Linked DNA regions of Diceros bicornis minor. The protein of the gene in region 1 purifies or fractionates together with the protein of each later gene. This does not show direct contact. Links are inferred from orthologs where the notes say so. Each region holds a gene or a part of one and is shown in the gene's direction. Other genes may lie near its edges. The genes, in order: CRK, NEDD9 and DOCK5.

What was found.
Region 2: the proteins of CRK (region 1) and NEDD9 purify together in Homo sapiens (affinity purification with western blotting; 3 studies listed by BioGRID). This does not show direct contact. The link is inferred for Diceros bicornis minor from reciprocal best matches to the Homo sapiens genes CRK and NEDD9.
Region 3: the proteins of CRK (region 1) and DOCK5 purify together in Homo sapiens (affinity purification with mass spectrometry; 3 studies listed by BioGRID and IntAct, with this or other methods). This does not show direct contact. The link is inferred for Diceros bicornis minor from reciprocal best matches to the Homo sapiens genes CRK and DOCK5.

What each region holds. Positions count from the first base shown.
Region 1 is NC_080757.1:16,260,409-16,264,155, forward strand, and holds the start of CRK (adapter molecule crk), read left to right. Parts: upstream 1-1,123; 5' UTR 1,124-1,219; coding exon 1,220-1,460; intron 1,461-3,747. UniProt on the Homo sapiens protein: Involved in cell branching and adhesion mediated by BCAR1-CRK-RAPGEF1 signaling and activation of RAP1.
Region 2 is NC_080753.1:55,284,560-55,288,306, forward strand, and holds the start of NEDD9 (enhancer of filamentation 1), read left to right. Parts: upstream 1-1,226; 5' UTR 1,227-1,397; intron 1,398-3,747. UniProt on the Homo sapiens protein: Scaffolding protein which plays a central coordinating role for tyrosine-kinase-based signaling related to cell adhesion. As a focal adhesion protein, plays a role in embryonic fibroblast migration.
Region 3 is NC_080750.1:68,673,477-68,677,223, reverse strand, and holds the start of DOCK5 (dedicator of cytokinesis protein 5), read left to right. Parts: upstream 1-968; 5' UTR 969-1,143; coding exon 1,144-1,186; intron 1,187-3,747. UniProt on the Homo sapiens protein: Guanine nucleotide exchange factor (GEF) for Rho and Rac. GEF proteins activate small GTPases by exchanging bound GDP for free GTP. Along with DOCK1, mediates CRK/CRKL regulation of epithelial and endothelial cell spreading and migration on type IV collagen.

The sequences.
Region 1 (3,747 bases):
CCCGCGAACCTGGGGCTGCCGAAGCAGAGTGTATGGAACTTTAACCACTAGGCCACGAGGCTGGTCCTAAACCGAGAGTTTTAACATCTGGAGACTGTTAAAAGTTTTACACAGGGTAGCCACAGACTCAGAGTTGTAATTTAGAAAGTTCACACTGGCAGATGTGCAATGCAATTAGGGGCAGCAAGACTATAGAGCACCAGTGAGCAGGTTGTTCACAGGAATACAGATATAGGTATGGGATACAGAGATAGAGATGATTATGATGGCAAGGAGTGTAGAGCACACCCATGGCCACAATTACGGTTTAGAAGAATCTGGGCAGATGACTTGAGAGCCTCAGTAGAGCCTCCATACTTCTGGCTTGGCATACTCTGTTCCCTTTGTCTTGAATGCCCTTCCCCACTTGCCGTTCAACATTCAGCTCAAGCCACCTCCTGTGGGAAGCCCTCTTGGATCGCTCTACAGGCTGGATTAGGGGGCCCTGCTCTGTGTTCCTGGAGTCCCTAGTCCGTTCCCTGTCATAGCACTTGGCATTCCTTTGTCTTTGGCTGTTTCCTGGTTCCTCCCACTGGTCTGAGAAGGCGGTGAGGGAAGGATCCAGCCTTGATCACCTTTGCACCCGCAGGGCAAATGTGGTGTCAGTAACTGTTTGCTGAATGAATCAATGAAAACAAGAACTTGAGCCGGCCTGGGGAGAAGCTGGAGGAATCATCAGAAAAAAGACCGTCTCAGGGAGCTCGGGCCCTGAGGCCATGTCATCTTTGCTACTCTAATTCTGTGTCGGAGTCGCTGCCTAGAAGTTCTGGGCCTTCCAGGATCTCGAAGCCTGGCGGAGCTAAGAACCGCGTGGGCAACCGGGCGAATACAAACCTCCGCGGACTGCCGGCTGAGGCCCCGCCTCTCGGCCCTGGACTCCACCTCTCCATCCTCTGCAGTCCCAGTCCCTGCCAGGCGGCGACGCCCATGAGGCCGCATGCGCAGTGAGAAAGCAAGCGGTCCCTCGCCCTTCTCCCAATGGCGGGCGGCGGTCCCCTTCCCGGCGTCCTCCCGGGGGCAGGGAGCGCGTCATTTCCGGTGGGGAAGGCCCGCGGCCGCCGCCGCCATTTCGGGCGCTGCTGTGAGGCTGAGAGCGGAGCCGGTCCGCTGGGCGGCGGGCGCCGGGGCTGGAGGGGCGCGCGGGGCGGCGGCGGCCCAACGTGTAGGCGCGGAGGCGGCCATGGCGGGCAACTTCGACTCAGAGGAGCGGAGTAGCTGGTACTGGGGACGGTTGAGCCGGCAGGAGGCGGTGGCGCTGTTGCAGGGCCAGCGGCACGGGGTGTTCCTGGTGCGGGACTCGAGCACCAGCCCCGGGGACTATGTGCTCAGCGTCTCGGAGAACTCGCGCGTCTCCCACTACATCATTAACAGCAGCGGCCCGCGCCCACCGGTGCCGCCGTCGCCCGCCCAGCCTCCGCCCGGTGAGGGACGGACGGGACGGGAGGCCCCGGGCGGGGGTGAGGGCCGCGGAACTCCCCAGCCTGGCCGGCTGCTCCTCGCGAGCTGACCCTCACGAGGGACGTGGGCAGAGGGCTGGAGTGACCATGGCAGGGGGCAGCCTGCTGCCGGGGCTCATTCCCACCGACGAGCGGGAGTGCGTGGGGGAGGAGGAGCCGCTGACCCAGGCCTTCTCTGGGTGTGACTTGGGAGGACAGCCCAGGGGAAGGGGAACTGCCTCGGTCCCAGGGTGGGGCTAGCGCCTGGGCCAGGCACAAGGGCAGAGCCGGGCAACGTGGGGACAAAGAACTGAGGGGGATGTTGGCACTGCGGGGGCATCGCTTGGCAGCGGTGCCCAGAATGAGTCCGATAATCTTGCAAGTGGCTTTTTAGGCTTGAAACATTTCCTGCAGTGTTGGAGAGCCGGGTTTGGCTATACTCCCCTGGTGGCCTTTGGTAGGAAGTCACCACATACTGGCCCGGAGGGATGGAGACACCTTCAGGAAACCGGTCAGCTTTTTCCTTTCTTGGGCATTTTTCCAAAATACTTTTACCGTCCTCTTCCCCCGCGGAGGACGAAGGTGGTGAGCTGAGTGCCTTGGTGATAGAAGAAAGCCCTCCACGACCAGCCCACAGTAAGGTGACGCCCAGCTGACCGTGTCACAGAGATTTTAGTGTCCAGAGACTGTCCTCCACAATTAGGGGGTTGTAGTTTTCAGAGTGTTTAACGGAGGAAAGATTTTTTTCAGGAAATAAACCAGAAATAAGGCAGTGGAAACAATCCCTTCCCTGGCAGGGAATGGAACTTCATTTTTCCTTGGACTTAAACATTGTCAGTCTTCTACTTTAGGGCGTCTCCGTGCTCAGTAAGTTGGGGCTGTGGCCTGAGTCTTGCTAGGTATTGGGAACAGACCCCACCAAGCTGATTCTCTGAGAATTTAAATTATCTGCACTGGATGTTTCTTGCCAAGCATCATTGAGGTATGACTCTCTTACCCATGCCGTTGGAGGTGTTTGGGAAATGTTAAGGAGATTTTTGCACATAGTACTTGAGATTTGTGAGGGACACGGTAATTCTGAGGTTGTCGTTACCTGTCTAACAGCACAGGAGTTCTGGTGTCTTCTCACTGTTCCCGGGTTGAAGCAGTTTCCTCCTCACCAGCCCAGTCTAGATCCAAGCCAATCTCGTGTGAATTAGGAGGCTTCTGAGCCAGCCTTTGCAGACATGCCCTTTTAGCATAGTCCTAATTTAGGTTTATTCACTCTGGCCAGAAATGGGGGGACAGGATAATCAGTCTCTTTGTTGTTAACCCTTGCCAATTTTTAAAAAGAATGTGGGATCTTTAGTCCACAAATTGTCCTAGGTCTTTCTCAGTCTGGTAGGTTTAATAGCATTATGACAGGAGATGATAATATTGATGTAACATATATTTGCCCTAAACCAGATATTTTCTGCTGTTTACAACCTGCACAGTATCTAGGGTTTTGCATTATAGTTTAGTGACATGATGGCAAACTGTCACCGAAGCTCAGTTCTCAACCTTCTGTATGTGTATGTGTTCTGTTGGTTGCAAAATTTGGAAATGGCAGTAGGCAGGTTTGTTTGAGCTTTCTCCACATGTTGGCATTATGACTTTATATCGCAGCACTTACTTTGGTATTGAGCTCCACCTTTTCATAGCAGATATGAGTTCAGATCCTTGGCCCAAGAGAGAAGGTGAAGATTGCCAAAGTTTGTGGATGGGGTGTGGAAAGTTCATGGGCATTGTGGTAATTCTTTGTGCTGTGTACCCTATTTTTCACATAGGATCCAGTTGCTGTCTTTATCAAGATAACTTAATCTTTATTCTACCCCTCCTACATGAAGCTCTTTTCCTTTTGAAATCACACAGAGGACTTTCTTGAATTTTAGAAAGGCATATACAATATTAATAGCTAACATTTATTGACTGGTTATTCTGTGCCAGGTACTTTGCTGAGTGCTTTATGTGCCTTATCTCATTTACTGTCTGTAACAATCTAGTGAGGAAAGTACTATGATCTCCATTTATTAAAATATTTCCATTTTATAGATGAGGAAAGTGAGAGAGATTCAGTAACTTGCCCAAGGTCACACAACTAGTAAATGACAGAGCCAGAATTTGAACCTAGGAATTCTGACCTGAGTGCTGACACTGTTACACTGTACTCTTTTCTGTCAAAGCCAGTTTCCTTTTGAGATCTCAGCAGTGCACATGGAGGACTCAGTGCTTTTGTCTGTGTCCTAGGGTC
Region 2 (3,747 bases), on another chromosome or scaffold:
ATGTATTTATAAGCCCCAGTTGCACAAGGCATTGAGCCGTGTGTTCGCTTCTTTGTTTAAATGTGGCATCTGCTAAAGGGCCGAGTATTCTTCAATATGATTCAGGCCAGCTCAACATTTAAAAATAAATGACATGGATCTGAATTTCAGAGAAGTGTTATGGGAAATTAAAACAAAACAGCAAAAGTCACGAGAGTGCAACACACAACATGAGCAGAGTGTGAAGACGAGAGGGGGCCAACAACAGTCCTTTCCTTGTCTTGGTGATGGAGCAGAAGCATCAAGCACCACTGGATCATTTGGGGAGTATCACCTATTCAAACTATCTCCCCTCTCTTCAACCCTCTATGTCCCCCAGTCATTTCCTAGGCACGAGGTGAGAAGTGGAGAAAAGAAGGAAAAAAGGAAATGATTGAGCTTATAATAGCATAATTTGCCACTAATAATAATAGCAAACTCTTGTATACTGCTTATTTATTTGTCCCAGGCACTCTCTGGGTGTTTTCATACACTAACTCACTTAATTCTCACAATAATCCTATGGTTATTCCCATTTTACAGATGAGGAAGCTGAGGCACAGAAAGATCAAAAGCATTTATTTGAAAGGTAGAGCCATAATTCACACCTGGGTATTGGCCTCAGAGTATATCCACTTGTTTGCTACTCAAAAGCACAGCTAGAAGAAGACTAGGGCTGTGAGGCTAAGTAACTTTCTAGTTCCCTTCCACATACTCAAATCTGAGCTTCCACACCACATTGTACACAGGAATTTTCCACGTGGGTAGTTACCCCCTAGCAGGGCGCTTGTCACAGTACAGGCTCAATAAATACTTGTCAAATGAAAGAATGTTTCATGTCAATTTACAGTGAAACTCTTTGGAACATATTGAGTCCATAAAACCACAAAATCCTGACTTGGTTGGCCTAAAATAGCCTAAATTTTTGCCTCAATGCAGCCTAGAAAGGAGCTTAAACCACTAAGGAAGTACATTGCACAGAATTTCATTGCAATAATAATGTGCAGATCACCTATCTTTCTCAAATTAGGAAATGGTGCAGAGTAGAACTATATTTCTTACCTGCCCCTAAACTGCAGATATCCGCAGTGTGTCAGGAGGTCTGACAGAGAACACAGAGAGGAAATGAACTGAGACAACATCACTTCAGAGCAACCGGAAGGAAAAACACACACATACCTACGCCTCTCACATTCTACGTGTGGTTGCTCAGTGGGGAAATGCTTACAGCTGCCTTTAGAAGCAAGCCCGGAGACTGCAGCAGGAAAGAAGCCTAATCGTGGGGCAGGACTGAGCTGCCACCTCCTGCCTGCCCACTCGGAGAGAGGGCAAGAACGCCAGGGATACCAGATGATCCACCAACAGTGGTGCTGCCCTGGGTGAGTTCTCAGACACTTGCTGTGGCCTGAGGGGAGGAACAGGGGAGACTCACTCAGACTCGGACTTCCTGAGTTGGTGTCAGACATCTGGTGGTATTCCCCACTGTTAACACCCCTTAACCGAAGCTGGGAGGGACTTAACATGCCCCAAAGGAGGAAGGATGGCTCTAGACCTCATTCAAGTTAACCTGGAGGTACTGGCTTTAAGGCAACTTAAAACCTACCTGATTCTATTTTTTTTTTTTTTTTTTTGTGAGGAAGATCAGCCCTGAGCTAACATCCGTGCTAATCCTCCTCTTTTTGCTGAGGAAGACCGGCTCTGAGCTAACATCTGTTGCCAATCCTCCTCCTTTTTTTTTCCCCCCAAAACCCCAATAGATAGTTGTATGTCATAGTTACACATCCTTCCAGTTGCTGTATGTGGGACGCAGCCTCAGCATGGCCGGAGAAGCGGTGCGTTGATGTGCGCCCGGGATCCGACCCCGGGCCGCCAGTAGCGGAGCACATGCACTTAACCGCTAAGCCAGGGGACTGGCCTCTGATTCTATTTTTAAAATCATCCTGGGTAGTGCTTCCTGGTGTGTAGAGTAGAGGCTCCTCCCCAATTCCTACCATCATCAGAGAGTTCTCCTGTGCTAAGCTGAGCTTTTACTCTCCTCAACTCTTTCAGTACTTTAAAGTGTGGGCTGCCACTCACACTTGATGGTAGATTAGAGTCATTGATAATATCATTTTCAGCCACTCTGGGAATGACTCCTGAGGGGCAAGAAGCAGCGATTGAGAACTGGCTTCAGTGTGTGTCCCAGCTCTGCAGAGAGCTGGTCATTAGCATCATCTCTAAGGGGCTGGGGACAGATTACACTGTGCTCTGCCTGTCCACATTGGGCCACCGCAACAGCTCCATCCTTCCTTTTCTCTATATTTATTAATTCGTTTAACTCATTCATTCATTCAATTGCCTTTTTCCCACAAGGGATTTGAGGCAACTCTTTTATCTTGCTGAAATTACTTCAAAATGAAGAACACATACAACTTGAAAGAGGGAGAGTCATTCTAAAAGGGTTTTCTGTTGTTTAAAGCTGGTGGAGATGGGCGAGCAGGCTTTTCCCTGTGCTGGTGATGAGAGGGGAGAGTGGGTGCCCCAGGCTTTTTAACTCCTGCTTGAGGAGCCTGTCCTTTCCCTTAGTGGGGAAGCTAGTTTCCCATCCAGAAGTGGGTGTGAAGAGCAATTGTCCTTGACAGAACCCTGGGAACCAGCCAAGCGGTTTTCCTCCTTGTTTCTGTTTCCTCCTGAGTTGGGTTATTTTCAAGGACATTCCTGTTCTAAGAACGGGGCAAAGTGGAGCTGTGGAAAGGAAAGAATATGAAATCAGTTTTGAGTTAGAGCTCCACCATTTCTCATTAATTAGTTCATTTATTTAACAACTATCTAGTGAGTATTCACTGCGTGGCAGCCACTTTTAAGTCAAAACTTACATAAGATGGAGCAAAACTGACGTTGCCCTGCCCCCAAAAAGCTTACGGTTGAAGGGAGAGGCAGACGTTAATGATTACATAAATATGATGAGGACCAGAACGTGTCGCGGGGGAACCTGATCTCATCTGGGAGTCAGGGAGGTTTCCATAAGGAAGGCAGATATGAGAACTGAAAGAGGTGTAGGAGTTCACAAGGCAAAGGGAACAGCCTATACCACACCCCGAGGTGGAAGGCCACAGAATTGTCCTGCAAAATTATAGCCAGTATGGCCAGAGGGAAGAGGGGGGTGGCTCAAGGTGAGCCTGAGGGACCAGGTTAAAGATGCTGCTTATTCTAAAAGTGTTGGAGAAGGTAGGGGTGTTGTGAACTGATCTGCATTTTTTTTTTTATTGAGGTAACATTGGTTTATAACATTATATAAATTTCAGATATACATCATTATATTTCAATTTCTGTGTAGACTACGTCATGTTCACCACCCAAAGACTAATTACCGCTGTACACACATGCCCTATTACCCCTTTCATGTTAAGGAATCCCTTTTGATACAATGTGGAGAATGGATGGGAGGAGGCACGCCTACAGACAGGGAGACTAGTTAGGTTGATGAAGTCAGCCAGGCAAGGATGTCTGTGGGAGTACAGACAAGACAAGGGTGGTAGGAGTGGAGATAGAATTAGACAAATTAAAGAGCCATTTAGAAAGGAAAATCAACAGGACTTGGTGGTGGACAGGAAAGGAAAACGAGGGGGAAGTGTCAAAGATGATCCTGTTTCCTGGTTTCGGCATCCAAATGGATATTGATGCTGCTTGCTGGTCACAGAGACTGGAAACGCTGGTGGAGACCAGGCCCAGGGTTAGTTCAGTTCTGGA
Region 3 (3,747 bases), on another chromosome or scaffold:
TCAGTCTCTGCGTTGGGCTCTTTGTCGAAACAATACAGTCAATGAACGAGAAAAGACGTGGATGTGCCAGGTCCCCTTCTCCGCAGGGATGCTGGTCTGTTGGAAGCGGGACGTCTTGGGGCGGACTTTTCCCTTGAGCATGAAGGTTTGAATTGCTTCAGCCAGGGACTCCTCCGGGTGTTTTGGGGATACAGGATTTCCAAGTTAGAATAATTTTTTCCCACAGAGGCTCTGCTAGGAAAGTATTTGATACTTCTGAGGAGGCCGTCTCCCCTGCATCAGTTCTCTATTTACCAGAAGACAAATGCGCCTGCTTTGAAGGCGATAAACGGTGGCCACAGGAGATCATGTCTGCCCCGGAGTCCGGCTTCCGGCTCTCACGGTGTCAGTTAAAGCTCTAGAGAGTGAACGCAGGAGTCAACTGCTCATTCATTCAGCAAATATTTACGGAGCGCCCGCTGAGTGCCAGGCACTGGGGGTGCCCCGGGGGCGAGAAGCAACTCATCAACTCATACTAGTTCCCACAGGAGCTGCGGCGCGCGCAGTGGGAGCCGACCCCGCACCCCGCGCCCACCCGCTGCCGGGCCGCCCAGCCTGGGTGTGCCCAGCGCCTCCGGCGCAGCCCTCGGGCCGCCCGCGGGGGGAACCCGCCCCACGGGATCCAGTCTCGGGGGTTTAATCCGGGTGGGGAAAAAGCAAAACACAAGGAAAAAACCGTACCCCAGTCTGCACTGGGAAGCTGCTCCTGGGAAGCGCGCAAGGCGGGGCCCGCGCCCGCCCGGGCCGGCGAGAGCGCGGAGCGCCGGAGCGGGCGGGAGGCCGGGCGCCCGCGGGTCGGGCGCGGAGGCGGCCCCGGCGGGCGGAGGGCGCGGCCGGCGGGAGGGGCCGGGGCGGCGCCGGGAGGGGCGCGCACAGCGGCGCGGCCGCCCGGCCCAGCAGGTGACCGCGGGCCGAGGCCGGGGCCGGAGCGGATCCCGTGCGGACGCGGGCGGCGCGGCGGGGCGCCGGCTCGCGGGGTCGGGCGAAGTTTGCCGGAACATGGCGGAGGAGCCCGGGGCGCGCAGGAGCGCGGCGCGGCGGCGGCCGGCGCCCCAGGAGCTGTAGCCGCTGCAGCCGCCGCCGCCGCGGGCTGAGGTGGCCGCCATGGCCCGCTGGATCCCGACCAAGAGGCAGAAGTACGGGGTTGGTGAGTGCTCGCCCCACCCCGCCCCCGACCCGGCCGCCGGGAACTTCGCGGGAGCCGCCCTGCCTTGCGCAAAGTTGGGCGGCGGACGCCGGGCCACTCGGCGCGCGCGCTGCCCGAGGCGGGGGTTCGGCTCCCGCTGCAGCAGTTCTGGGGGCGGGTGGGAGTCGGAGTCCTTTCCTGGAGCCCCGTGGGGGAAGTCATTCTGAGTTTGGGAAATCCGAGTGGCTAGAAGTGCAGCTGGGCTCCGGGACAGGTAATCCTCCCGAATCCAAAGCTCCAGCACTTTGCATAGGAGAAACGTCAAAAGCGACGGTGCTCGCCTCTTATGCATTTGGGGCACCCAACTCTGGTGCTCGCCTCCCTCCTCCCCATCCGTATGGTTTCATTCAGTAGTTTGTAGCCAGCCCAGGTCGGAGGAATGCCAGTGGTGTTCGCTGCCCCAGTGCTTTCTGCTTTCCCTCTTCTTAGGTTGTCTCTGAAGCCCCGAGTGAGGAGTTGGGGGTAGAAAGCCGCCCTCCGCCCCCTCGTTTCCTCCCAGGGCCTGGGATCCAGATAACAGTTGTAAACTGAATGGGAGACTAAAGTTGTGGTGGGGAGGTGATGGAAGAGACAGGAAGTGTGTGGCATGGGAACGAGGGTGGCTGCCCCTGGGGCCGATGGGGCAGACGCTCATCTCCTAACGGAGCGTATATGGAGAGGGGTGAGGACTGCCTTCTGAATCCCGAGTTTCGTCGTGGGATAAGACGAGGGCATTTTATTAAGAACACTGTGACAGATCCCGCGCCCGGCACTTCGCATTCGTAACAGCGGTGCTAGAGAGTCCCTGTCGTGCGGAGGGATTACAGTGCTGTTGGTTTGGCCCCGGAACGGTGGCTGTGTGGGGTTTTGACCCAGGTGAAAAGCCGTGGTCCTTCTTCCTACCAAGGAGTGAGGTTGCTGAAATGTGGGAACGCTGCTGTTCGCGGGGCGATTACAGTGGCAGTTCGACTTCGGAGCGATTCCCTGGTGTAAACGCAGTTGTGTGTGTTGAGAATTTTATCACTTCCTCTTAGGTTCATTCATTTGGCCTGTTTGTAACTTAATCTTTCACTTCCCTCCCTGCCCCGCCCCCATTTCTCCTCACCTCTCTGGTTACTAGGGAGGGAACCGTCCCAGCACCTGTTCTGAGCTTTCTGACGGCGAGGTCAGTTTCACGGATACTCAACGTCCCTGGTGCTCTTCAACTCTGTAGCCCCGAGTCAGTTAAAGAAACAAACTCTCTCATATTTACTATATTACTCTTAGATTGAGATCCTTTATATATATGTTTGTGTGTATGTAATTAGATATATAATTGCTTGTTTTCCCTCTATTCCAAAAACTTTTTTCCCCTTAAATTTCTGTTAGAATCCTTGCACTCTGGTATGGCTACAACTCAGAAACAGGTAGGTGGTGTTTCTCCTGCCCCAGACCACCCCGTCATGATTTGGTCATGACGCTTCAGACGGGGACTCCTACTCAGGTGCCAGTCAGTAAGTAGCCAGTGGTTTTGGAAGTGAAATGCTCTAAAATAGATGGACTCAATTTCTTTATTTTTGAATGTTATCTAGTATTTACTAAATTAAAGCGTGTTTAGCAACGCCTAATCATTAATTACTACTTTAAGAAAGTTATCAATTCTGATTTTGTTTAAGAGGATAAAAGCTATTTCCAAAACCAGTATGACTTCAGTGTAGGTGATGCAAACAGATCTCCCAAATGTGGTTTTTATTGCCATAGTCATAGAAGCAAGTATGATATGTTCTCTTTTTGATTTTTTTTTTTTTCCTGTTCTGGAGTCAGGTTACCATGTTTTTTATCTTCCATCAAGAAAAGTATTTGAATTGCATTTCCAGGGCATAGGTGCTAGCAAAATTGCCCCAGGATATAATTTTGGACACTTGTTTCATTAGACACAATATATTCTGCTTAATCTGGATTTGACAGAAGGACCACTGTTAGCACAGATTAGCTGATGAGATATATCTCCATTGTTTATTGCTAAAACACATTGTTGTTCATATCACCTCCCTGATTTGAAGCCTTCCTTGGCCTGCAGGGTAAGATGTAACTGAGCCCAACTTTCAAGATTCCCATAATCTGGTTCAAAGTGTCCTCACCAACCAACCTTATCTCCTGGCTTCTTTCATTTACCGCCCCCCCCCGCAGATACTGCTCTTCTAGCTCTTGTGCAATAGGCCACAGGCCTGGAGAGTCCCTCCTCTGGGACTTTGCTCCCTTGTTCTTGCTCCCTGTCAGAGTGCCCGCCCACCTCTGCATCCCACAGTCCAGCTCGGGACAGTCCTCGGGGCTCAGATCCACTGCCAGTGCCTCCTTCAGGTTTGGTGTTCACCAGACCTCCCCAGGCATTCCCGCCTCTTCCTCACAATGCCTGCAGTGTGCCTACCTTATTTCATTGCTTCTCCTCGTATCCTCGGGTTCAGCTTATGGTTTTGTATCCCTGTCACTCACCGGGTGTAGCAGGTATAGAGCCTGCCTTCAGTAGTCATTGCATGTCCTTGGAGTTGGGGTAGCATTCTAGC